Nothobranchius furzeri: one gene and its partners. The protein of the gene in region 3 purifies or fractionates together with the protein of the main gene of each other region. This does not show direct contact. Links are inferred from orthologs where the notes say so. Each region holds a gene or a part of one and is shown on either strand. Other genes may lie near its edges.

Region 1 (8,131 bases), on a different chromosome or scaffold from region 3:
GCTACCAGCAGGACCAGAACGGGCGCTGTTAGTCATTCAGTTACAAAGCTCTGCTTGAGGAGCATCATTATAGGATTAGATGCTTTGTTTCATCTTGTTCAGTGATCTCTCTTCACAGGAACACACTACTGCTGACGCCACCTTACCTGTGCGGTGCAGAGAGAACGGGAGTAACAAGGAGATGTGAGGAAAAAGTCGCATCTTCATCAAAAGCAAAATAAACCAAAGGAGTTCACCACAATCTCGTTTCTGATTTACACGTTCCCCAGCTGACAGATACGGTCTTCATGAGATTAGTGGGTAGACACGGAGCTGATGGATCCACGAGCCTAACCGCTCAACCCTTTATGAAGGGGAGGGGTAATTTTACACTAATTATTCTGTGAAGTTAGTTTTAATCAGTTTCTTCTGCATTCGCAGCTAGGGATGGTACCTTTGACATTTGAATCGATTCGGTACTAATTCCCGGTACCTAGGAATCGATATCGGTACTTAACGGTACCAATTTTCGATACTTTTGAGTGTTTATTATTTTAATTCTCTTTTATAATTAAATATATATTTTTCTCAATATACAACCATATTTGATAAATATCACGATAAATAACATACAACTGTTTGTATTTTAACATCGTCCTTGTAGTTTTATAAGCTGATAATTAAACTGAAGCAAACATCTTTACTGTGAACTAAATTTACTGTGTATCTTCATTCCTTTTGCCGTCTTTTTTCATTTGATTTTTCCTACTGGGAAGTTAGAATTTCCCAGGAGAAAGCGAACGCACCATTAGCTGATAACATTGGTAGCAATGGAAGCTAACATATCAAGCTAACGTTATCTTAAACAGTTTATTTAGCTGCTGGAGCAGATTAAAACGATGATGCCTCACACTTAGATCGTTGTCGCTGGTTTCATCTTCACCCAATCACCCGTCACATTTAGTAAAGTGAAGCCAAACTTTAGAGCGCGTTCATGTTCTTCTAGTCGGGAATTCGGAGTTCCGAGGAGAAAGCGAACGCACCATTAGTGAAACGGAAGCTAACACATCAAAGCTAATTATATTTACCTACCGGAGCAGATTAAGATGAGGATGTCTCACTTAGATCGTTGTCGCTGGTTTCATCATCACCCAGTTACCCATCACATTTAGTGAAGTGGACCCAAGCGTTAGCGTGCGTTCTTTCTACCATGCTGCTCTGTTTACAACTTGCTCGCAGCGAGCGACAACATAACGCTCTTGCGCATGCGCAGCTGTCTAGGCAAGTTCTCGTTATGAAGGACGGGTACCGAAACGAGGCACCGTTTCAAATGACGTGAATCGGTGCTCGGTCGGTACTATGGAATTCGGTCGGTACCTTAAAAAGTACCGAATTCTGTACCCATCCCCAGGAGCTCATCTACCCTCAGTCCTTTTACTGAAATGGCTCAAGTATTTCCACAGGGACACAACTGTTGTCCTCAGGTAGACCAACCAGGATGGGAGTAAAAGAGCTGCGGCGCGATCTGCCCGTGTGCGTTTTACTCAGGATACGGAACGAGATGAGCAGAAGCTGGAGTCACCTGGTGAACTGGTTGATGGCAGACTTGTGCAGGCTGACGGGAGAGGTGAAGTCTGTCTTGGCAGCGTGAACGGACAAGCTGGACACGTCCTTTTCATTCCCCGTCCTGCCCTGCTGAACCTAAGGAAACAGACACAATGATTGTTTTATAGCAGGTAGCGAGGGAGAAAACGTTTTAACACGAGTTCTTTCTAACTGTACAGGTGTTGTGAGAAGATACTAGATGGTTTCATACAGTGATCTTGCTCATCACTGATCCAACCGTAGAGACCTCCAGGCCCATTCTCAGCCTCTTCTGCTTCTCACAGTACGCCTTCCAGGTGTCTTCATTGAACCCGTAATTGAAATAGTCAGAAAGATCCGCTCCTACACACAGAAACACACACTCGCTATGAAACACACACTCACAGACTACAGTTGGAGCCCGGAAACATTTTATTTAGCGAATCAGTTTCAAGAACTTCTGAGAACATGTTGCTTGTCTCAAAGGATTTTGTCTAAAAAACAGACACCAACACACAGCAGACCTGGCTTCCTCCAGGGTTTCTCCTCAAAGGACTCCATGTCTACTTCCAGCACAGGAACACCGTTGATGTTTCCAGGAGCATCCAGATCCACTCCCTTTAGCTTTGTGGTCACTGGAAATGAAAACACATTACTAGTTACGTTCGCAAAAGTAAAAGTGCAACTGAGATTTACTTCATGTAAGGTTAAACCGTCAAATGTGAACACTGATGCAACAAACAGGAAGTGACACCTTGTCCGTAAGGTCTGGAGCTGGTCGACTTTATGTTGAGGTTGACTGGAGGCGCTCCATACGTCCTGGGAAAAAAAACGAGTCGACAGTGATGTAGAAAAACTGTTTTCTCACGCTGACTTCATCCATTAAAACTGATTGATCAAGTTTTTTGTTTTAAATTAGATCTTCTTTCCCTTTCTTGCTTCACATTTGGCTTTTTTTGTTCATGTCGAAATAAAGAGGCAGAAAAAAATGACAAAAGTGCTGAAATGGGAGTCGTTTTTAAAACACGATTAAAGCCTACGGGTATTGTGGTGCTCCAGTTTTTATGTCACCGATGGTCACACGGACATCGTCGTCGTCGTCATCGCTGTCGCTGTCACTGTCCACATCCTCACCGGCAGCTTCCCCTGTGGCCTGAGAGTTCAGACAAAACAAGCAAATGAGATAAAAGATCATCATCGATCAGAAAACAAACACAAAAAGGACAAAAATATAAGAAATGCAAAGATTACCTACCTCAGAGGCCACGCCGTTTCCTGTAGCCTCTGCAACAGCCTCTTCTGTTGTTATGTCAGTGGGTAAGCTGTTGGTTAAATGTACAAACACTTTGTTGTTCAATCAGAATTCATACTGAAACCGCCCTCGTCGTGCTGTCATAGATGCTCAGTACACACAACAACCTATTGAGTCAGACATCTTTAGTTGTGGCAAATCAATCCATCAATCTTTATTTGTATAGCAGCTTCCACTGCCTTTGCAGGAGCCCAAGCTGCTGACATTAAATACAGTAAAAACACAGATAGCAATAAAAACGAGGTAAAAACAACATACAGACATAATCGCATACAACCAGGTCATATAAAAGCCAAATGATAAAAATGAGTCATCAAACGACTCTTAAAAACCTGCAGCAAAGGTGATCGTTTTATATCAAATGGAAGCTCATTCCAGAGAGAAGGAGCCAAGACTGAGAAAGTCCGATCCTAGGGTTGGGCATCGAGCATCGATTGGAACCGGGATCAACTGTTAAGTTTTTCCCGGAATCGTTCAAAGTTTTTATTTCGATTCCTAGAATGCCAACCAGAAGAATCCGCGACCGACCTCCGTGAAAAATAAACGTGATCTGCAAATTGTGATCAACACTTTTCAGAGCTGATCACAGCAGCTGTCTGTGTGCAGCACCGAGCCCCCCCCCCGGATATAAACAAACACGTCCACCGAACTTTTACTCCGTAATGTAACTTTAACTCCTGCAGCGTAGAGGAAACTTGTTAAATACGTCAACACGGTGGATTTAATAGAAGCTTTAAAGAACAAACTCTGCAGAAATAACACACACGGAGCGTCAGCCGCTCAACAACACTCTGTGTGTGTGTGTGTGTGTGTGTGTGTGTGTGTGTGTGTGTGTGTGTGTGTGTGTGTGTGTGTGTGTGTGTGTGAGCGTGAGCATCAGAAGGCTGAACAATAACCTGTAGAATAATTAAAGTCATCATGCTAGAGCAGCTTCTCCGTGGTGGACCACACCAGCTTCTGCCACAATAAATAATTATAATAATAATAATAATAATAAATCACACACAAAGTTGTGAAATTTCCTTTCTGAACTATTTCTGTTGAGTTTTAATGTTTAAATCTGTTAGATTGTTACTGACAGCAGCTACGTTTAAGTTTCACTTCCTGTTCTGACTGAATGCTGCTGCAGCATGGAGGTGTGGTTCTCAGTCATCCTGGACATGATCATCCTGAGAGCTTCAGCTGAAGACAGCTGGACGTTTCTGGATATGTTGGAGACATTTAGCCTCTCATCCTAGAGGCTTCTTCCAGACTTTGGTTGTGGTCAGAAACAAACACACTGGTTGTGCTGCAAGTCTTTTTCTTTTGTTCTCCAAAACATGTTTTTGTCTAAATGAAGGTGATGTTGTTGTTCATAGAATTAAAAATCATGTTGAGGTTAAGATAATTTCATCAAGTAGGACCTGTGGTTAGCTGGCTCATGTAAAACATGTCATGTCTTGAAAGAATCGGAATCAACAGGAACCGGAATCAAAACGAGGAATTGAAATTGGAATTGTTCAAAATCAAACGATGCCCAACCCTACCAATCACCTCTAGACCTGTACCTAGTTTGTGGGACAGTCAGTAGCTCCAGCTCAGCCGAACGTAGAGGCTGTGATGGGGTACGTCTTTTTTTATTAATGCTGCCAAGTAAGGTGGAGCACCACCATAAAGAGACTGAAGACATAGCACATAACTTTAAACTTAGCCCGAAAACCTACAGGGAGCCAATGTAATAAGACCAGCACAGGAGTGATGTGTGCCGACCTCCTTGTCCCTGTCAGAAATTTGGCCACAAAGTTCTGAACCAACTGTAGACGACTCAGTGCTGCCTGGCTTAGCCCAAATCCACCAACCAGCACCTCTCCGCTTGTATTTATGCCCGGATTTTTGTTTTATCCTCGTTTAAAACTATTGTGTGAGTTTTAAGCAAGTCTAATGTTTTACAGATCATTAGATTAAAGGTGGTGGGAGTGGTTGTTACCTGGTAGCAGCGATCAGTTTGGCTTCTTCCTCCTCTTCTTTACTTTCTGATTCATCTAAAACATAAACATGAAACTTTTAGCCCTTTAATAATAAGCACTTCGTGTAAAGTTTTACCTGTTGAGTCATTGGGATTTTACTTCATTTAATCACAGTGAAAACAGTGAACTAAATAGATGACTGTCTGTGTTATGCGTCTTTAACTTTGTTCAAAAGCATGCCGCTGTTGCTGAAGGCCGACACACGAGCGGTGCTAGTTAGCTTATCGGCTAATGCTCCCATCTCCTCATTACTCGTAGATAAATCGTCATAGACAGAGCATCAAACATATTTATATCTGTATGTGTCGGCGTGGAGATGCGGTGTTGGATTGTTATTTTACCTCCATAGAGCCATTCTTCCTCTTCATCACCTGCGCTGGCATCTGTGGTGGTCGTTTTGTCCGCTTCCTCCGCAGACATCTTCAGCCAAAACCACTCGCTGCTCCAACAGCTAACAGCAGCAACAATGTGTAAAATTTCAATAATATAAGCACAATCTAACCCTTACAGGGAAGAACTTTGATAAATTATGTATCTATTACTTCATAGAATCATATTCAACCCCTTTGCAAATGTGTATGAACCCGGAAGTGATTGAGGATTCTTGAATCCCGCTAAGGTCGGAGTATGGAGTGGAACCGAGCGCGCCCCCTGTTGGACAAAAGAGGCACCGTTTACAGTACTCCCAGGTACAAGTTGGTCGATTATTATGCTGTATAAAATTAAATTAAATACATTTAAATGCAAATTTACGTAGCTTAAAAAGTGCAAATGTTCATCTGAATCAGAATCAAAATGAGAATAGTGTTTTATTGCCAGAGGCCCTAATAGGGTTTGATGTGTAGAATAATTTATAGCCTATAAGAGATAAATAAATTGATATTAAGGCAGATTTAAACTCTCAAAGGCACAATGCGTCATGTAATCACTTTTTACTATGTAAAAACACGCCAATTAATTATGAGCAACAAATTAAAAAATAACTTGATAAAACTGGAACAAAATTTATTTCCATGTATCTACATTTTACATTTAATTTAATAACAAAACAGATATTTTATGTTTTCTCTTAACGTAGTATGGTGACGTTCAGTGTCACACCACTTTACCACTACAGGAGGACGAGAGTTTTCTTTTTACTTACACACATTAAATATACTTAATTTGATCTGAGTGCTCCAGCCGCCTTTTTCTACTTCTCAGTTGTCAGTGCCAGCTGTTGAGCGCTGGCTGTCATTTGAATGATGTGCAGTGTGCCTATTTATTTCTTTTATGAAATATGTTTTACAAATAAAACTTGATACTGTAACTATCTAGAACAAAAGTTAAAGCTTCTTAAGGGAAAAATTTTCCTTCAATATTGAGAAAAAAATCCTAATGAAATTTTGATTAAATGTTGCGTAAGACCACTTTTTGTCAATATTCTTTTGAGAATTGTGTTCATTCATTAAACGGCACTCACAAATGTGTCTAAAAACTAAAAAATTGTTAATTGTTTAGAACCATACGTAAAACTTGCTCAGTGAAAATTCATGCCCATAATTAGAAATAAATCTTGGTGAACTTTTGACAAGAAGTTGATTGTAATATCGACTGAACAGATTTCTTTTAGTTAATTGCCGTCATCCATCAGATAACACTTACTATAAGCCAGAATTATGTTTTTAAAACAAAAAATTACTCATTTAGAGCCAAAGTTAATAACTATTACGAGTGGTAAAAATAGTGTACATTTAACCCAAATACTGGAAAAAATATTTATGCATTTTTGTAATGTCATTTCATCACCACAAGAGGCTGACATTATTCTTTTTTGAGCCCTTACCACAAACCAGAATTATGTTGTAAAAATTAAACAATGTTAATTGTTTGGAGTAAAAGCTAAAACTTACCAAGTGACATTTTTACCGCAGTTATTCAAAAAATATGTATAAATTTTTGGTGAAACCTTGAGGGTAATACATTTAACCCAAATATTATGAAAGAAACAATAACACATTGAAATTTTTTTTAAATTTGTGTGTAATACCACTAAATATTCATCAGAAGTCAACAGTTTTAAAGTAGTGTTGCAATAATAATGCATGAGAACAACAAAGTACGGTAGCACTTTCTGTTGTGACCTGGTGACCCACAGGTCACATCATGGGATTACATTATTTCTTTATTAAATCAGTATATATGTTTTTAAACAGAAGTTGTTGTAATTTCGTACAATTATAATTACAGCCTAATTATAATACCTGTAAATGTTATTAGTTAATTGGTTCATAAATCAAAGTTAACGGTTCACTTGAATTCCCCAAAACTGTCAATGGAATTAAGCTAGCAGCTTAGATGAGTGTGCTATAGTGAACTACACCAAATTCTTGCCTTGCAGGGGGAGGCGACAAGATGGCGGAGTGAGCAGTTGGTCCATAGCAGGATGCAAAGGGAAAACAGTTTTTTTCAAGTCCAAACGTTGCTTAAAGGTAAAAAAAAAAAAAGCCATAACATATTGGAAGAGACTTTCATTCGTTTTTTTTACAAACTGAGGAACTTTTTGAAGAGCTAATTACGGTGTGAGAGAGTGAAAGATGGAACAACGTGGCGAAGCTAGCATCGTTGATCATAATTATGGCATTGCTGTGATGGATGATATGAGTGAAAACGAACCCCAAAGTGTGGAGCAAGCTGATAAAAATCTCGAGGACAGTCAAACTGATATGAACAGTCCACAACCCAAAAAGCTGAGGAAGAGAAGTGTGAAGGCAAGAGAGGAGAGTACAAATAATCTTGTGCAAATGATGGAGATCCCGATCAAAAAATTTGACGGGCTGGACGGGAAGTTGGAGAACATTGAAGTGAGAATGAACAATGTTCAAGAAGCTCTAAAAAAGTTGGATGCTCTAGAAATCAAACTACAAAACATTGAAAAAAGCACAGAAGACACGAAGAAAGAAACAAATGTAAACAAAGAAAACATCACTAAACTACAAAAACAAGTTGAGTTTCTGGGTGTCGAAAATAAAGCTCTGAAAGAGAAGGTACTGGAAGCTGAGAGGTACAAGAGGAGATGGAACCTCAGGCTTCTTGGATTAGCTGAAAAAGAGGAAGAGAAAATCAGAGAGGAAGTTATTGGCATACTCATAAGAGTGGTCCCCGTGTCTGTCGACGAGCTCTGCAGGAATGTGGACACCGTTCACCGTTTGGGAAAAAAAGATGCAATGAATACCAGGCCAAGGCCCATTATCATTCAGTTTGTGTCACG
Region 2 (8,384 bases), on a different chromosome or scaffold from region 3:
GTCCAGGCTGATGCCCCCTTCCTGTTGCTTGGGGACGTCAGACTCAGCTGTTCGCGGTGACAAGGTGATGATTAAAGATTCTGTGAACTTGATTGCATGCGTGCGAACACCATCATTCTCAGAGTCGAGTAGGATCAAAACGTCCCCGGTCATTTGTGTAACCAAATTCCAGCATGCCTCCTGCATATCCGATATGGTTTTGACACGCACCAACCACTGGCGTGAAAGTCAAGAGGAAAGAAATCAGAATCTCGAGGATGTAAGGAGCGAGCTGGTGAATTCAGGGACAGGAACGCTGACCTGTAGCGTAACTTTGTACAGCTGAGTGAGGGTGAGGATGGCCTTCTTCACCACATTAACGCTCTCATCCTTCAGCAGCATGTTCAGGTTGGCGATCAGTCGGACCAGGAGCTCGTTGTCCCTTTTACTGGAAAAATCAGTAACAGGAAAAAAAGGTTGAGAAAGTTCTGCTTTTCTTTTGATCAATGTTAAGCTTGGACATGTTGGATGTTTCATTACTCACCAGGCCTCCTCTATAAACCCAATGACAAACTTTCTCACTTCAATAGACTTGTCGGTCTGGAAAGCGATGATCTCCTACAGTTTAAAACACGGGAATAAGAGTAAGTTAAAAAGACAATGTGTGCTGAAATATAACATGTTCTAATATCCAGAGACATGACAGCTTGGTTTTGAGACTCACTCAGGGAGAGTAAATAATCCTTTTTTTGTCTTGTTATATTTAATGAGGAATCCTAAATGTGCCCATACTTACATCCAAAAAATTATCAAGAAGAGAAGGATCCTTGTTGATGATAAGCTCCTGAACCTGAAATAAATTCATATTGTCAAAATTGTTTTACTCCAGCTTCTTTTTCTGAAGAGATCTTGATTAATAGATTATAATCCAGCACATATTGAGTAGAGCTGAGGAAAATAATCAAATAATCGATGCATCGGGATGCGGACATAAACGATTCTGCATCGTAGAAGAGTACGCCATAATCGATTATGGTGGAATGTAGTTTTGTTCTTTTAATGGCGGCACCAGCACAGATCCAAATCTGTCAGAGTGAGCGTCCTCCACATTTACCAAGTGGTTCCGCATTAATGTGGTACTGCAGGGCTGAGCGCTTGAGTTGTAACCTGAGACCGAACCGGAACCAAATCAGCCCGACCGGTTCTGTTGGATTTGGGCCGTGAAATATGTTAATTGAGCGGGTTGTCACGCGGCGCGCTCCGCTCTCTCAGCGACTGAGAGAGAGAGAGAGACTGTCCGCTCACACGAGAGGATCGGAGGACGCCCCTCCAAAGCGATGCTCCAAACACGCATTATTATTTTCATAATTTAATTTTTTTTCTCCTGGAAGCGCTCAGTCAGACCAAGTGTTGTAATGCTGGGAGATCCGGTCTCGGGGGAGGGGGCGGGGTCAATGACGGCGGCTGCAGCGTGATCGTCTGTCTCTTTTATTTAGGGACACGGAGAAGTTAAAAGGAGAGAGAAATAGAAGAAAGAAGTTCTTGTTCCACTTTATTCTTTTGTTTCATGATGATAAACTGATGTTAGCTTCAGCTTAAAGAGAAGCTGGGAGGAAGCTTTGGTTCATTTTAGGTTACAGGAGACTTGTCTCATATCTGCTCCTCCAGAGACAGCATGGACATGACGGTTACATGGTGAGGGTGACACAGGACAGGTTACTGGAAAGGTTTGTAGTTAGCTGGTTAGTGAAAGAGATCTATCAGCTGGGTATTTTAATCCTAATCCAGCCCACAGCCTTCTGCTGGTGTTATTATCAGGAAGAATAAAACACACATCTTAAATATTATTGGAAGTGTAGAATTTGTTTTATGTTTTATTATTTTCTGCATCAAACAGAACTTGATTCATTCTCCAACATTTCAGAAACGAACCACTGGGTTCAAATAAAATAAACTAAGTCAAACATTTCATTTGGTGTTATTTCTGACACCCTTCAACTGCAGCATAAATATTTGACTCTAGAGCTGCTCAGAGACATTAAACACTCATATATGAACCCATTATGGATTTTATTACTACATTATGTTGTGTCCTGTGGGTTTTCAGTACTTTTTTAGATTTTGTGAGATTTTGTAAAGCATGTTTTCTCAGCCTGAGGCGTGGTGTTGAACGAGGAAACAGATTGTTTTACTTTGTTAAATCTTCTTAAATGTTTTGTCCTAACCTGTTGTGAATGGAGAGATTTTGAGGGATGGCAGGTTGTATCAATTACGTTTTTGATTAAAAAAAAAGCAATTATCTGACATCTTCTATTTATCGATGAAAACAAATCAATATGAAATAATCGTGATGCATCGGGATATCGGATCGAATTGAATCGTTGACCCAATAATCGTAATCGAATCGGGAGACAAGTGAAGATTCACACCTCTAATATTGAGGGCCAGATTATATGTTGAGCATGTTAAAAGCAGGAGAAACCTTTAGAATACAGATTATTTATTCAAAATATCATAGATCTGGAATGTTCTAAGTTATTGTAATTTTTGTGTGTTTTAGTTGGTACTTGCAGCAATAATTAGACAGCAAACCTGTTTGAGAATTGTTAGCTTTTCATCAGTTGGCATCAGAGCAGCTTGATTCAGCAGCTCCACAACCTGAAAGGAAAAAGAAAACCCAGTGAATTTCTCTTTCAAAGCAGATTTACTTTTAAGTAAAAACACAACTGGTACACGACTAAAACAAATAACTGAGTTGTTATTATTAGAAAAGACAATTTTTGCAGTTTAACAAAAGTTGCCCCATACTCGGAGATATAGGTGACTTTACTGTGACATGGGTTAGTTGGAGTAAAACTGCTTTAATTTTCCATCCAAGTGACTATGATTCTGGTCATAGCCATTGGCTTTAAAGGCAATAATGAGACACTCAATCTTAAACCTCAGTCCACAGATGTGAGCCTCTGTTGAAGAACCTTCCTAAATGTTGGGGTCATCTACATCTACAATATGTATGTTAGAGTGAACTGACATTTATAGGCTCATTAAAAAGGAAATTCAATCAAAATCCCTAAAAATAATAGTTGTTTTTATTAATACAAACTGAGCTAGATGTATTTACCAGACCATAGCAGTTTATTTATAAAGTATATTTAGAAATAGCATGGCAGCTAACCAAAGTGCTGTACAGGAGAGCAAAACACTCTCACACACAACAACAAACAACTAGTTTGAACAACCAGTGACTGCTGGTTAAAGTCTGGTGTTATTGGAAATTATTCAACTCACAAATTTAAACTTTAAATTAAAAACAAAATGAAAAGATGAAATTCTTTTGGAGGAAAACACAGTATGTAAGATTCTGGAACCACATCACAGTCAGCATAACAGAAAGTTTTCTAAAGCCTCGACACCAACATGGAAACAGTAATTATTAGAAAATATATTAATTCATGTATATTTAACTTGTACATCCCATAATCTGAAGGGGGAAAATAATATAATTAAAATAATCTTATTGAATAATAAAAAAGACATTACAGACTATTAATCAAGACAGTGATCTCAGTGCTATGGTGTCCCTCTTTAAACTATGTTGCATGAAGAAATGTTCAGTGCCGTACCGGGGATGCTCTATTCGTGAGTGTTTGTCTAATTTACCTTTTCACTTGTGGTGATGTTGACGCTGGGAGTTCCCTCCTCCACTGAAGAAAGCTCCATGTTGCTGCTTTGTGTGTCTCACAGTCCTGACGGCAAGGTTTTAAAAACTCCAATAAACGTCAGATTCTAGAAACAAAATGTTTGCAATATTTACACTAAAACATGAATTAAGCTAAACCAATTACAGTGACGGTGAGAAGAAAACTTAGTTGTAAAACAATAAACGCTTCCCTCCCACCTACGCACATTAATAAGGCTTTAATTGACATTATTTCAACATTACTAGCTTCGTTCTGTGATGCTAGTCAGCGAGCACCTCCATGCTAACCGCATTGCTAACTTCAATAGCAGCTTTAACATTATTTGACAAACGTACGCCACTTAACAGACCTGTTTTTGTGTTCATGTAGAAATTATATATGTTCCGTAAGAGAAACGCACTTACTTAGTATATTTTCCATTACATAAATGGGAAAAACCTATTAGCGCGGAAAAGAAGCCGCTTTCTTCTTGTTCTTCTTCTTCGTACCCCTACTTCTTTTTCTAACCTCTTGGCGCACTGTCGCCACCTACAGTGAAAAGCATGCAAAAACAAAATATTAAATATTCAGTCAAATCTAAAAAGAAAAACAGGGAATTCATCTTCTGTTTTATTTTTATATTGCCTTTCTATTTTAAGCACAAATACTTGCTTGGTTTGACTTTAAAACTTGAATGTGTCCCTTTAAAAAGCCTCATAAGATTAACTAATGCTTAAAATCCCAGTCTCAACAATCTAGTGACACGAATCACCTTTAGATGTTATTAATAAAATTTCATTAGACCATCTTTTTATATTTAGAGCGGCACAAAGATCCCAAAGTTTTTTTCTTTTAAGACTTCAAATCCCAGAAATCTTTGCACAGTAAGTGATGTCACCTGACTGATAAGGGGTGGGTATGCTAATGTTTACAACCAAGATCTGACTACAGTTTCATTGCAACAACAGTGATTTCGTTTATATTGCACCATAATATGAACTGACAATCAAACAGTGGTAAAAAAAATAAATGACTACGTCACATTTTCAGGTAAGATCACATTTTCTTACGCTTTTAATCGCATAACTGCAACGAGCTTGTTAGCGCTTAGCTTGTGAAACAGGCAGCTAAACAGCGACTCTGTTTACATCCTTTTCCCAAACAAATGAGGTGGAAATGCGGCCAAAAGTTCAGTTTAAAAGTGAAGTTTAATTACAGACCTTGGGCATATATCTTATTCTTTTTAAACGATGGTAAGAGTTTGACAGCTAAGACGTGAAAACAGCAGTTTCTTTTAGAGCTTCCTGCTTGTTCGATGTAATTCCTCATTTAGTGTAATTAGTTTTTAGTCTGTCCTCTGAATGCTCTGGCTGTGATAAACAATGTTGTTGTATTTTCTATGCATTGCTGACAAAATCAGTTTATTTTAACAAACGTACACAATTTTCTGCATGAAAACCTAAATCATCACATTTTAAAACAAAACATTTCAACCTAATTAAGTTCTGCGTAAACTGTGTTCTTTATTCATTTAAGTTTGAGTCATATTAAAAATCAAAACATTTTCTAAGTATTTCAACTCATTTTTTAAGTTTTAGAGATTTGTTTCCAAATACAATTTTTAAAAACACATTTTAACAATTAAAATCTCTTTTATGTCAGGATCATAATATAAAATAAATATATGATTTATAAACATCAAAGAGAGGGAAGCCTTCCTGTTGACACCTGGATGTTTTTCAGCGTCCTGATGGAGTGGGTGTTCGTCATGAACCGGATGAGCTCTCAGAGCAGCTCTGCAGCACAGCGGAGGCGGATGGTCCTGGGGGTGGTGATCCTCCTGCTGGTGGATGTCATCTGGGTAGCATCCTCTGAGTTAACCTCTGTAAGGATTTTATCACAGCTTGTCCGGTTTTCACTCCTGCTGTTTTGGGTGGATTTCTTTACACATGTTCACAGTGATTGAGCAAAACAGTTTTGTGAAACTGCTTTTAAAGGCGGAGTCAAAAAAGTTAGTTGTAGCATCAGAAGTGAGATGTGGAGAGTATAAACCTGGCGTGGGAAAAGTGTCGGATTTCCAACAACATATAATTTTATGATTTTATGACTATTTTTTCTGATGTTAATCTTATTCTGTTTTCAGAGCATTTTGATTTTATGACTTTGTTTTGATCTATGTGAAGCACTTTGTGATTCTATGTCTGTGATAAGTGCTATATAAATAAAATGTACTTACTTACATAAAACAAATTATTTTGTTTCTCTGAATCTCCCTTTAGTACATCTTCAAGCGACAGGAATACAACAAACCCTTCTTCAGCACTTTCACCAAGACGTCCATGTTTGTGCTGTATCTGCTGGGGTTCCTGCTGTGGCGGCCCTGGAGGCAGCAGTGTACTGGCACGCTTAAACACAGACACTCTGCATTTGTAAGTTAAACCCTTTGGTGGATATTCCAGAAGGGTTCAAATGAAGGCAACTGGACTTCTTCAGTTTCATGAAGACGTTTTACTTCTCATCCGAGGAACTTTGTAATGAGAAGTGACAAACATCTTCGTGAAACCAAAGAAGTCAAGTTGCCTTCATTAGAACTCTTCTGGATTATCACGACCTGGATGACTGAGAAGCTTCACCAGCACACCTTTGATCGGAAGTGTTTTGGTTTTTGTGATATTGCCTTAGACTACAACAGTAATGTTTCATTGTTTGTATAAACCTGCACCAGGATAAAAAAATCACTTTCTTTTATGGTTACTGACTTTATTTTTCACACATCACACATTGATTCCTGTAGAATCCATTCTCCATCACACAAAGCCACAGAAGGAATTCTTGATTTTGTTGTAGAAGCTGATGCTATTTATCCTGTAGTTTGCAGATGCTGAGGCTTACTTTGCACCCTGCACCAACGACAACACTGTGAACAACTGTTTGGTATGTAGTTTAGAGAAAATTTTGAATAATTGTGCATTTAATGCCGAACTCCAAGTAGTCTTGGTATGCTTTGGAGCTGATTGTTCTTGTCATGGTTGCAGAGTGAACCCCTGTATGTCCCAGTGAAGTTCCAGGATGTACCCACTGATTTCTCTGATTGTTTAAATCGAGACTGTGAAACTTGTGAGTACAGACGCTAATTTAATTTTTTTATTATAAACAAGGTAACATAATTCATAGTCTCTTTTTTTAGATTTATTTATTTCTTCTTACTAAGGCTTTAAATAATAGAAAACGCTTGCATTTTAATGGGGCGTTTCTGAGGCTTTGAACATTTTTGAAATTGAAACAGAAAATTATTAGAGTAAATAGAATTTGCTCTGAGACGAGTGAAAAAGTTGCATATTTACATATTTAGAGTTCGTGTCACATCACTGCTGAAAAAATCATCCAGAAGTGAAAATATACAAGAAACCTGTGTTTATGAGAACATAATCAGAGTAAAGAGTAAACAACTCCATTTTTTTGTGTTCCTAAATCACCTTCACAAGTGGAGGTTTTAAATGCCGTTTACCCACGTGTGGATGAAAACTCTTGGTTTTTCTGAAATGACAACAAAGCTGCTGGCTGCACATTCATTGTTACTTCCTGCTGTAGAAATAACAAATAGTCATTTCTACCTGCTTTTGTGCTTCAGGCGCACTTTAACCCTTCCACTGTCTTAATGAGTGACCCCGCCAGCAAAGTTGACCACTCAGCAGGACTGATGGTTTATCCCTTGAGGTCCACATGGCAGGAATGAGGAGTGAGCACCACCTCACCCCTGCCACGTGGACCTCAAGGGATAAACCATCAGTCCTGCTGAGTGGTCAACTTTCCTGGCGGGGTCACTCATTAAGACAGTGGAAGGGTTAACCTGAACCTGTTGTCACAGAACATTGAATCTGTTTGAAATGGAGAAAATCTCAGCAGAAATATTCTTCCTCTGTTTGCTGATAGGTTGTTACTTCGGTTCAACTAGTGGTGCAGAGAGGACTTTTTAATTTATTTTATTATTTTTGTCAGGATGAAATTAAAATTACTTTTAAATGAGTCACATTTTTGGCTCCAGACAGGGGCTACCTCCCAAAACTCCTTCATGCACATTTATTTAATTCACAAATGCTGTAACGTGTGGTTTCCATTTACTGAGTTTTCTAAGTCCTTGTTGTTTTTAGTGCTTCTATTGTTATTTTTCACCTCTTGGCTCTGAGAGTGACTAGATCACTTTTCTACCGGTTTCTGCCTTTTGTTCTTTTGGGGTCATGCGAGTAAAACTGATGTTAAGATTTAATTAGAAATAGGGATGATTCTGTTCAGGTTTTACCAGCAGGGGGCAGGCATTAGTCAATCAAAATACACAAATAATTAAACTTTGTCCTCAGAACTACTCTTTAAATAATAAATCAATCAAAAATGAATGATAAATTATGATCTACATACTTGAACTCTGTTTTTGGAAATAAATGTAATTAGCTTCTAGCTTTAAACCCTTTAATCACCTGTGGAAGTGTCTCGCTGCACAGAAGCATTCACCTGATGCACACCATTCCAGTTTTCAGTTTTATGACATGAATTAACCCATTTTCTTTCCTTCCTCCCACAGCTGCCAAAAAGCAGCGAGTCCGTTTCAGTAACATCATGGAGGTGCGTCAGTTACCGTCCACTCAGGCCCTGGAAGCCAAACTGTCGCGGATGTCCTACCCAGCTGCCAAGGACCACGAGGCCACGCTGCGAACGGTGGGAAAGCTG
Region 3 (8,216 bases):
AATAAAACCCTTCTGATTCTGATGTGGCTGGAGTGTGTCAGATGTTCCTGCTAGATGTAGCCATTGATGCTATGGACAGGCCCACCCATTCCCCAGACCTGAATCCAACTGAGCACACCAGGGACATCATGTCTCACTCCAGCCACCAACGCCACAGACTGTCCAGCAGTTGGCGGATGCTTTAGTCCAGGTCTGGCAAGAGATCCCTCAGGAAACCATCAGCCACCTCATCAGGAGCATGCCCAGGTGTTGTAGATGGTAAATGGCCTGTATTTGTATAGCATATTTTTAGGGTTCTACAACCCCCCCAAGGCACCTTACAACACAATCAGTCATTCACCCATTCACACACACATGCACACACTGGTGGGGATGAGCTACGATGTAGCTGCCATGGGGCGCACTGACAGAGGTGAGGCCTGCCGAACGCTCCAACCACCATCAGGAAGGTCATACATGCACATGAAGGCTACACACACACTGAGCCTCATTTTGACATTGTGTGACGGATGGCCATTGTTCTCTATGATCGTTGCGCTCTGCCTCCCCGTGTAATCATGCTGGCTCTTTAAAAGCCCCAATTGTGTCCAGCTGAGCGAGAGCGTTTACCTGGCGTCCTGACAGACAGGTGGGGCAGCGTGTCGGAGCTGTACACTGGGTGCACGGAGGATTATTTCTACAGGTAAGGGATTCTTTTAGTTTGGGGCTTTATGGTGTGTGTGTGTGTGTGTGTGTGGAAATGTACCGCTGTAGGCAAGGCCGGATTAACCATATGGGCAACTGGGCAATTGCCCAGGGCCCTCGAACTCTAAAGGGCCCAGGGCAGCAAGGGCACGAGCAAAGTACTGCATCTGTAATCTCCCGCTTTATATTAAACTAGGGTGAACATGCGTCCTCTTTTCCCCGGACATGTCCACTTTTCGCTCTCTGTCCCGGGGGGTGGGGGGGTTCTTGTATTGATGAAAATGTCCGGTTTTTCATCCAGGAGCAGGGATCGAATTATGGGGGAGCTGGATATCCTACACATCCAGGGGAGCCGGAAAAAAAGTTTTCTACACGAGCGACCGGTACTGGCTGCTGTCACCTTTTGTGATTGGTTAAAGCAGCTCTCTGCTGTCTGAGGGTAGGCCCCGCCCACAACGCCGCGGCTGCTGTGGCTCCCAGTGTTTTCTTTACTGTGGGAAACGGGTAATAATGGCTCTTTGCTGGGAACAGGTTGCCGACCCCTGGGCTAGACAAAAGAGAAATAGCCGCAGCTTTCATTGGTACATCTGAGAGATGGGTGTACATCTTTGGCCACCATTAACTCTCCACCTGACTTGGAAAAATACATAAAGCATACACAATCCACTTGTTTACTGTCTCAAACACACTCAAACAGCATTAGTTATTAAGATTACAGTTCGAACATCAAGTCCAATATGCATTTAATATTGGTTTACCAATTGTTTTTTTAGCTAAATTTAATTTAACTGTTCTACTGTTCTCAGTGTGTTCACAATCTGTATTTGTGTGCATTCAAACCTAATGGTTATTTCCCTTTTCCTTTTTGTTCTGTTGATAAAACAGTTAACTGATCCATCTTTGACTAAAGAATCCTTCATATTATTTTAAGCTTCAAAAGACTCATCAAGGCATCCAAACAAAATAAAGGGAGAGCGGCTAATGTAACGGATCACCTTCTGACCTGTTCAGTAGATGTGGTCTGGACAATTTGTGTCATCACTCTTGTGCTCCACATTCACCAAAAAGCAGATTATGGCACCAGATTATTCTTCAACATGCTTTTATTGGCAGCAATCTGGTCCAACAGAACACACGCAATTTCCATCAATGTGTGTTATCCAGCCTCACACAGGGGTCTCCACCAACTTATGTGTCACTGTACTGCGTGATTGTATAGTGGTTATTATTATTACTATTCAAGTTTATTTTTCCACAATTTACATAAAAACAGATTATGGTGGATAACCAAAAGTTGCTAACAACACTTGTAACACAAATACATTTTTCTTCAACAACATTCATACATCGAGCCTTCCTGGTATAACCACGCCCCCCAATGCGGGTGAAAAATTGAGGCCAACGCGGAAGTGACAAAAATTGCAGTTCCACCCTCATCCACTAGGGGCTGGTGTCAGAAGCGAGCAAATCCTCATTGACTCCCATGTTAAAAATACCAATTTCACAGCAGAAATAAACATGTTTACAGCCTTGTACCAGAACATGTTTTAGGTTTAAATGATCTAGTTTACACTCATGACAACTCTGAGGGGGGTGAATGTTTTTCTCACTCTTCTGTTTAAGTGTATTAAAAGCCTAAAATTCTGTATAATTAATGAGCATCAGACCCACGTGACCGCAGAGCTAGCTCAGTGGAAAGGCCTCAGTAGAGCCTCGGTCTGGCCTGGAAACTGCTCCGGGATTTTGAGTCTCTGTTTGTGTATTCTTGTTTGGATATTTTTTGTGCAATTGTTGGACAAAATGACTTGCTGTGGCATTAATTGCACTAATAGAGCATCCAAGGAGTCTCCACTTCATTTTTTTCGGTAAGTAAAATTATATTTATGTATTTTAGGTCACTGCCGAGCTGAGCTTAGATTTTAACATGTACTGTTTAACCATGAAATTTAAATGTAATAGGGTAAAACCCAGTGCATTTAACATAATGCTGCACTTTAGAAAATGGGTTGAAATATAACATGTTGGTGGAGCTGGGTTCCCACTATCGGCTTGTGGAGCTCTGGGATGGAAACCTTTCCACCCGGTTCTCCCCAGCGGCAGCTCTGCGCATCTCAGATCGCAGCGGCGCTAGTCTGCTGTGCGGCTACCAGCTTGTGGAGGTCTCGGAGACCTCTGTGTTCCACCCGGTTTTACCCAGCGGTCAGCCCGGCGTATCTCTGACTCAGAAGCTCTGGTGTTGTGCACATTTAACTCCAGTTGTAGCTACGTTGCTACCTCAGTTAGCTTAGCTCCCACCTCCGCGTTAGCTTTGGGTTAGCTTGTAGCTAGTTCGACCGGGTGTCATCAGTTGATCCCAGCCTTAAGGTTGGTTTATGCTTGACGCGTCCGCGCGGTCCGCACGGCTCAGCGCGGTGAAATTGCGTCATTTTAACAACCACGCCCCTCCACCACGTCTCCGCACGGCCCGAAATTTCCGCACCGCGCACCTAGGAAGTTTTCTAATCACGCGGACGGTCGGACACGGAAAAACATTTGTATGATTCAGCTCTCAGAGATCACCGTGATCAACATGTTGTTAATAATTCTTGGAGAGAAATAGCTCGCACTGTCGGAAAAGACGAGGACGCTGTTAAAAAATGCTGGAATGCCATGTTGTAAACAACAGTCATTTCTACTTCTACTATGGTGTAGTGTTGGATGCATGCCGTAGAGCTCCATGCTGCCCCCTACAGTTTGGGAGAATATTGGCTCACCGCAGAGACAAGCCGCATGAACCATAAACGCTGCGAGTTGTGAAGCGCGTTCCATCCGCGAGCCGCATCACCAAGTGGAAAGTGAATGCATCAAGCATAAACCAAGCTTTACAGCCCCACCCTCAGCTCCACCTCTCTTCCCTTTTGTGGAATTGTCTGGGCTTGACGGAACCTGTGACACGGTCAAAGAGGCGGTGGTGGCCACCTCCCATTTATCTTCAAAAATGTGTTATTGGAGCCTATGGAAACCCATTATCCAATATTTATATGTCGATGGGTATAACAGAGCACACAATTTCCATCACTAGCCACGTTTACATGGGCACAAGTAATTGGATTGAACACCCAATCAGATCAAAAATTCTGCCCATTACATTTTTCATTTCGTTTCATGGCGTTTGTTTACCATTTTTTTCCGGGAAAGACAACTCTCTGCGCATGCTCAACCTATTTATTCAAATTGAATGCTTGGTGCATAAATTAGTGTCCATGTAAACAGATATTTGGGATTTCTGAACAGCCAAGATTTTAATCAGATAGAGGAGATTTTGCACATGTAAACGTGGCTAATGTGTGTTATCCAGCATCACATTCTGTTCAGGTTAAAAAGACAGCTAAGTAACTTAACACTCACTCACGAGAAGTTAGCTTCTATTAGCAACACGCTAATCGAAGCATTATCACCCATATAACTTGCTTTTCTTTTTAAAGCTACAGCTAAACTTCTCACAGAACACTCCCAAGAGCCCTCACATGTCAGAAACAAGTCACAAAAGCTACTTAACTCAACTTAAAATCGACTTATTAACAACATATAATTCTGCTCATGTGTACTCACCTCCACCAGCTACACGCTAACAGCTGAGGTGGCCGTATGCATGCCTGAAGGACCCCTGCATTAATCACATTAAAATATCACCTTCTTTTGGTGTTTAATAAAATATAACATTGCTTACCTCTTGGAGCTAAAGAAGAATAAGGGATTCTTGAGCTGTGTGGGTGACGTGCTCTCCTGTTTATCACAACTGCTGACCCCTGCTTGCAGGATAGCATGGTACAGTACACAGCAACAGCAGGGCGGTTTTTTAGAAATGTTACAAATTAATCTAAATTGATTACGGTTTTATTTTTATTTAAAGCTCAAGTATAAATAATTAGATGCCAGTTGCGACATTTATAAAGTATATTATAGACTATCTGCTGGGAGCAGAGGTAGGTATAAGATCTGAGCTGGTAAAAAAAAAAAAATCCCCATCGGCAGGCTTTTGGGGGAGGGGGGGGCACAGCTGCCAATCACAAATTTTGCTGGCGTCCGGGGTTAAAATGACGCCTATGCAGTATCTGTCACTAGAAGCCTCCTTGGTGCTTTTTTCTGAAATCAAAAGCACTGGGAATCAGACCCTTTGAAGCTGTCACATTCGTCCATTTACCTGCGCGCGCACACAGTCACGTGCGCACGCAGACCTACGGTCTATGACGCAGACACGTTAGCTGTCAGTCAAGAAGGGCGGGGCTTAAGGACTACGCGTTCTATTGTTGTGTATGTCGTCACGAACATTCGTTTGATACGTCATTATTGGTGCGACCTTAATCCTTTGATCTCAACTGTTGAAAAGCATAATTTTATAAGTCCTTAAAATGGCAGACACAGATTTAAAGTTTAACTTGTCAGAGAGATCTATTCAACCTAATGTTACACAGCTTTTTAGAAGAACAGCAGGCGATTACCTACCATCAAGCTGGCGTTCTCGAGAAAGGTTTAATAGAGAACGAAGAAAAAGACAATTAAAGTGTCAAACGTCAATAAGTATTTTAATTAAAATGGTCATTTTTAGAGCTTTTCAGGAAATCGAAAAATGTGTCACTGCAGAAGAGGTGGAAGCAATCTGGGAAATCATTTATAAAAGACTATGGTTAGAAGCTTGCATGTTAAAATTTAAAATCCAGCCTAAATTGTTTGAAAACCTTCATCAGTATATCTTTAAAAACCTGTGTGATTTACAAATCTTTACAACCACAGACATGGATCAGTTTACAAAGTCCCTAGTGGAAGCTATTACAGAATGCTTTAAATGCTACGTGACAGGCACATTTAGTTCCCAAATTGTCCCAAAAAACCAGAAAGTCTTTTTGTGGACGCGCTTCAGGAATTTTTTTACTTGTTTAATGAAAAAACTAGGTGATAATAAATAGTTTTGGTTGCAGGAACAGCCAAAAACATAGGGGAAGTTGGGGCTTCATGATGAATATATCAAAAACGTAAACACCAACTGTGACATTTCTGCATGGCGTTAGCAGGAAATCTTTCACACAGACACATATTTAGGGTGCCAGAAAGGAAGATTTATCACGTTATTTGTTTTTACATGGAAGGTCATCCTCTGCTGCTCACCACAAAGGTTTCCACATAAACATGAAGAAAATTTGCCATTACTGTTACAAGCAATCTGGTTTATCCTGGCAAAATGATAAGCAAAACGCATCGAAAACGGCAGTGGGAGGTGTGTCATTACTGTTTTAAGCAATCTGGTTTACCGTGGCAACATTATTAGCAAAACACATTGAAAAACAGCCTTGGGAGGTGTGTCGTTACTGTTTTAAACAATGTGGTTTATCGTGGCAACAATATTAGCAAAACACATCAAAAAACGCCCATGGGAGGGGTGTCGTTACTGTTTTAAGCAATCTGGTTTACCATGGCGAAATTATTAGCAAAACACATAAAAAAAACGGCCGTGGGAGATGTGCCATCACTGTTAAAAGCAATCTGGTTTAACCTGGCAACATTATTAGCAAAATGCATCGAAAAACAGCCTTGGGAGGTGTGTCATTACTGTAATTAATTTAAATTACATGTTATTTAATAAGCCATAAGACGTAGGATTCCATAGGAAATATGAAATCAACCTTATGGATCTGTTGGGTTATTTTAACCAGAAGATTGGAACTTTTTATTACAGATTAGATATCAGCTTCGTATTCACTCAGAGACAACAGGAGAGAGTCAAGTTTAAAGGTTTAAAGATTTATTACTAACAATCAAAACTCCTCCTTGAACCGTCACCTTATCGTGGTGGAGGAGTTTGAGTGCCCTAATGATCCTAGGAGCTATGTTGTCTGGGGCACTTAGTGCCCCTGGTAGGGTCTCCCATGACAAATTGGTCTTAGGTGAAGGGTGAGACAAAGAACGGTTCGAAGGATCTTTCATGGCGGTTAAAACGAAGAGTCGGAGTACCCGGCCCGGAGGGTTACCGGGGTCCCTCCCTGGAGCCAGGCCTGGGGTTGGGGCCCGTGAGCGAGCGCCTGGTGGCCGGGCTTTCGCCCATGGGGCCCGGCCGGGCCCAGCCCGAACCGGATACATGGGCTCGTCCAACTGTGGACCCACCACCCGCAGGAGGAACATGAAGGGTCCGGTGCAATGCGAATCGGGTGGCAGACCAAGGCGGGAGCCTTGGCGGTCCAATCCCCGGACAAGAAAACTAGTTTCTGGGACATGGAACGTCACCTCGCTGGCGGGGAAGGAGCCGGAGCTTGTGGCAGAGGTTGAGCGGTACCGGCTAGATATAGTCGGACTCACCTCGACACATTGCATTGGCTCTGGAACCCGAGACCTGGAGAGGGGTTGGACACTCTACTTTGCTGGAGTTGCTCCGGGTGAGAGGCGGAGGGCTGGGGTTGGCTTTTTGTTAGCCCCGAGACTCTCTGCCTGTGTGTTGGGGTTTACCCCGGGGGACAAGAGGGTAGCTTCCTTGCGCCTTCGGGTCGGGGAACGGGTCCTGACTGTTGTTTGTGCTTATGGGCCAAATATCAGTTCAGAGTACCCACCCTTTTTGGAGTCCCTGGGACGAGTGCTAGATAGTGCTCCATCAGGGGACTCCATTGTCCTGCTGGGGGACTTCAATGCTCACGTGGGCAATGACAGCTTGACCTGGAGGGGTGTGATTGGGAGGAACGGCCCACCTAATCAGAACTCGAGCGGTGTTTTGTTATTGGACTTCTGTGCAAGCCGCAGTTTGGCCATAACGAACACCATGTTCGAACATAAGGATGCCCACCGGTACACTTGGTACCAGGGCAGCCTAGGTCACAGGTCGATGATAGATTTTGTAGTCATATCATCTGACCTGCGGCCGTATGTTTTGGACACCCGAGTGAAGAGAGGGGCGGAGCTGTCAACTGATCACCACCTGGTGGTGAGTTGGATCAGATGGCAAGGGAACATGCCGCGTAGACCTGGCAGACCCAAACGCATAGTGAGGGTCTGCTGGGAACGCCTGGCAGAAGAACCTGTCAAGACGGTCTTCAACTCCCACCTCCGGCAGAGCTTTGACCACGTCCCGAGAGCAGTGGGGGACATTGAGTCCGAGTGGGCCTTGTTCCACTCTGCGATTGTCGAGGCGGCTGTTGCTAGCTGTGGTCGTAAGGTGGCCGGTGCCAGTCGTGGTGGCAACCCCCTTACCCGCTGGTGGACACCAGAGGTTCGGGGAGCCGTCAGGCTGAAGAAGGAGGCCTACAGGGCGTGGCTGGTCTGTGGGTCTCCAGAGGCAGCAGACAGGTACCGGATAGCCAAGCGGGGTGCAGCAGTGGCAGTTGCCGAGGCAAAATCTCGGGCGTGGGAGGAGTTTGGTGAGGCCATGGAGAAAGACTATCGATCGGCTCCAAAGAGGTTCTGGCAAACTGTCCGGCGCCTCAGGAGAGGAAGGCAGCAACTCGCTCACACTGTTTACAGTGGGGATGGGGAGCTGCTGACGTCAACTGAGGCTATAGTCGGACGGTGGA

The links.
Region 1: the proteins of cpsf1 (region 3) and fip1l1b fractionate together in Homo sapiens (co-fractionation; 8 studies listed by BioGRID and IntAct, with this or other methods). This does not show direct contact. The link is inferred for Nothobranchius furzeri from reciprocal best matches to the Homo sapiens genes CPSF1 and FIP1L1.
Region 2: the proteins of cpsf1 (region 3) and sympk fractionate together in Homo sapiens (co-fractionation; 5 studies listed by BioGRID and IntAct, with this or other methods). This does not show direct contact. The link is inferred for Nothobranchius furzeri from reciprocal best matches to the Homo sapiens genes CPSF1 and SYMPK.

The regions. Positions count from the first base shown.
Region 1 is NC_091747.1:75,987,254-75,995,384, forward strand, and holds the start of fip1l1b (pre-mRNA 3'-end-processing factor FIP1), read right to left. Parts: upstream 5,457-8,131; 5' UTR 5,302-5,456; coding exon 5,223-5,301; intron 4,897-5,222; coding exon 4,842-4,896; intron 2,886-4,841; coding exon 2,819-2,885; intron 2,717-2,818; coding exon 2,604-2,716; intron 2,383-2,603; coding exon 2,318-2,382; intron 2,199-2,317; coding exon 2,088-2,198; intron 1,927-2,087; coding exon 1,796-1,926; intron 1,681-1,795; coding exon 1,562-1,680; intron 1-1,561.
Region 2 is NC_091747.1:24,058,896-24,067,279, forward strand, and holds the start of sympk (symplekin), read right to left. Parts: upstream 4,214-8,384; 5' UTR 4,085-4,213; intron 3,766-4,084; 5' UTR 3,700-3,765; coding exon 3,640-3,699; intron 2,638-3,639; coding exon 2,572-2,637; intron 830-2,571; coding exon 776-829; intron 598-775; coding exon 524-597; intron 428-523; coding exon 301-427; intron 217-300; coding exon 1-216. Other genes in the region: solute carrier family 35 member F5, read left to right, coding at 5,410-5,544, 5,939-6,088, 6,531-6,593, 6,695-6,776, 8,239-8,384. UniProt on the Homo sapiens protein: Scaffold protein that functions as a component of a multimolecular complex involved in histone mRNA 3'-end processing. Specific component of the tight junction (TJ) plaque, but might not be an exclusively junctional component. May have a house-keeping rule.
Region 3 is NC_091751.1:1,599,123-1,607,338, reverse strand, and holds the start of cpsf1 (cleavage and polyadenylation specificity factor subunit 1), read right to left. Parts: upstream 4,517-8,216; 5' UTR 4,394-4,516; intron 4,321-4,393; exon of another isoform or gene 4,276-4,320; intron 2,396-4,275; exon of another isoform or gene 1,688-2,395; intron 146-1,687; exon of another isoform or gene 1-145. UniProt on the Homo sapiens protein: Component of the cleavage and polyadenylation specificity factor (CPSF) complex that plays a key role in pre-mRNA 3'-end formation, recognizing the AAUAAA signal sequence and interacting with poly(A) polymerase and other factors to bring about cleavage and poly(A) addition.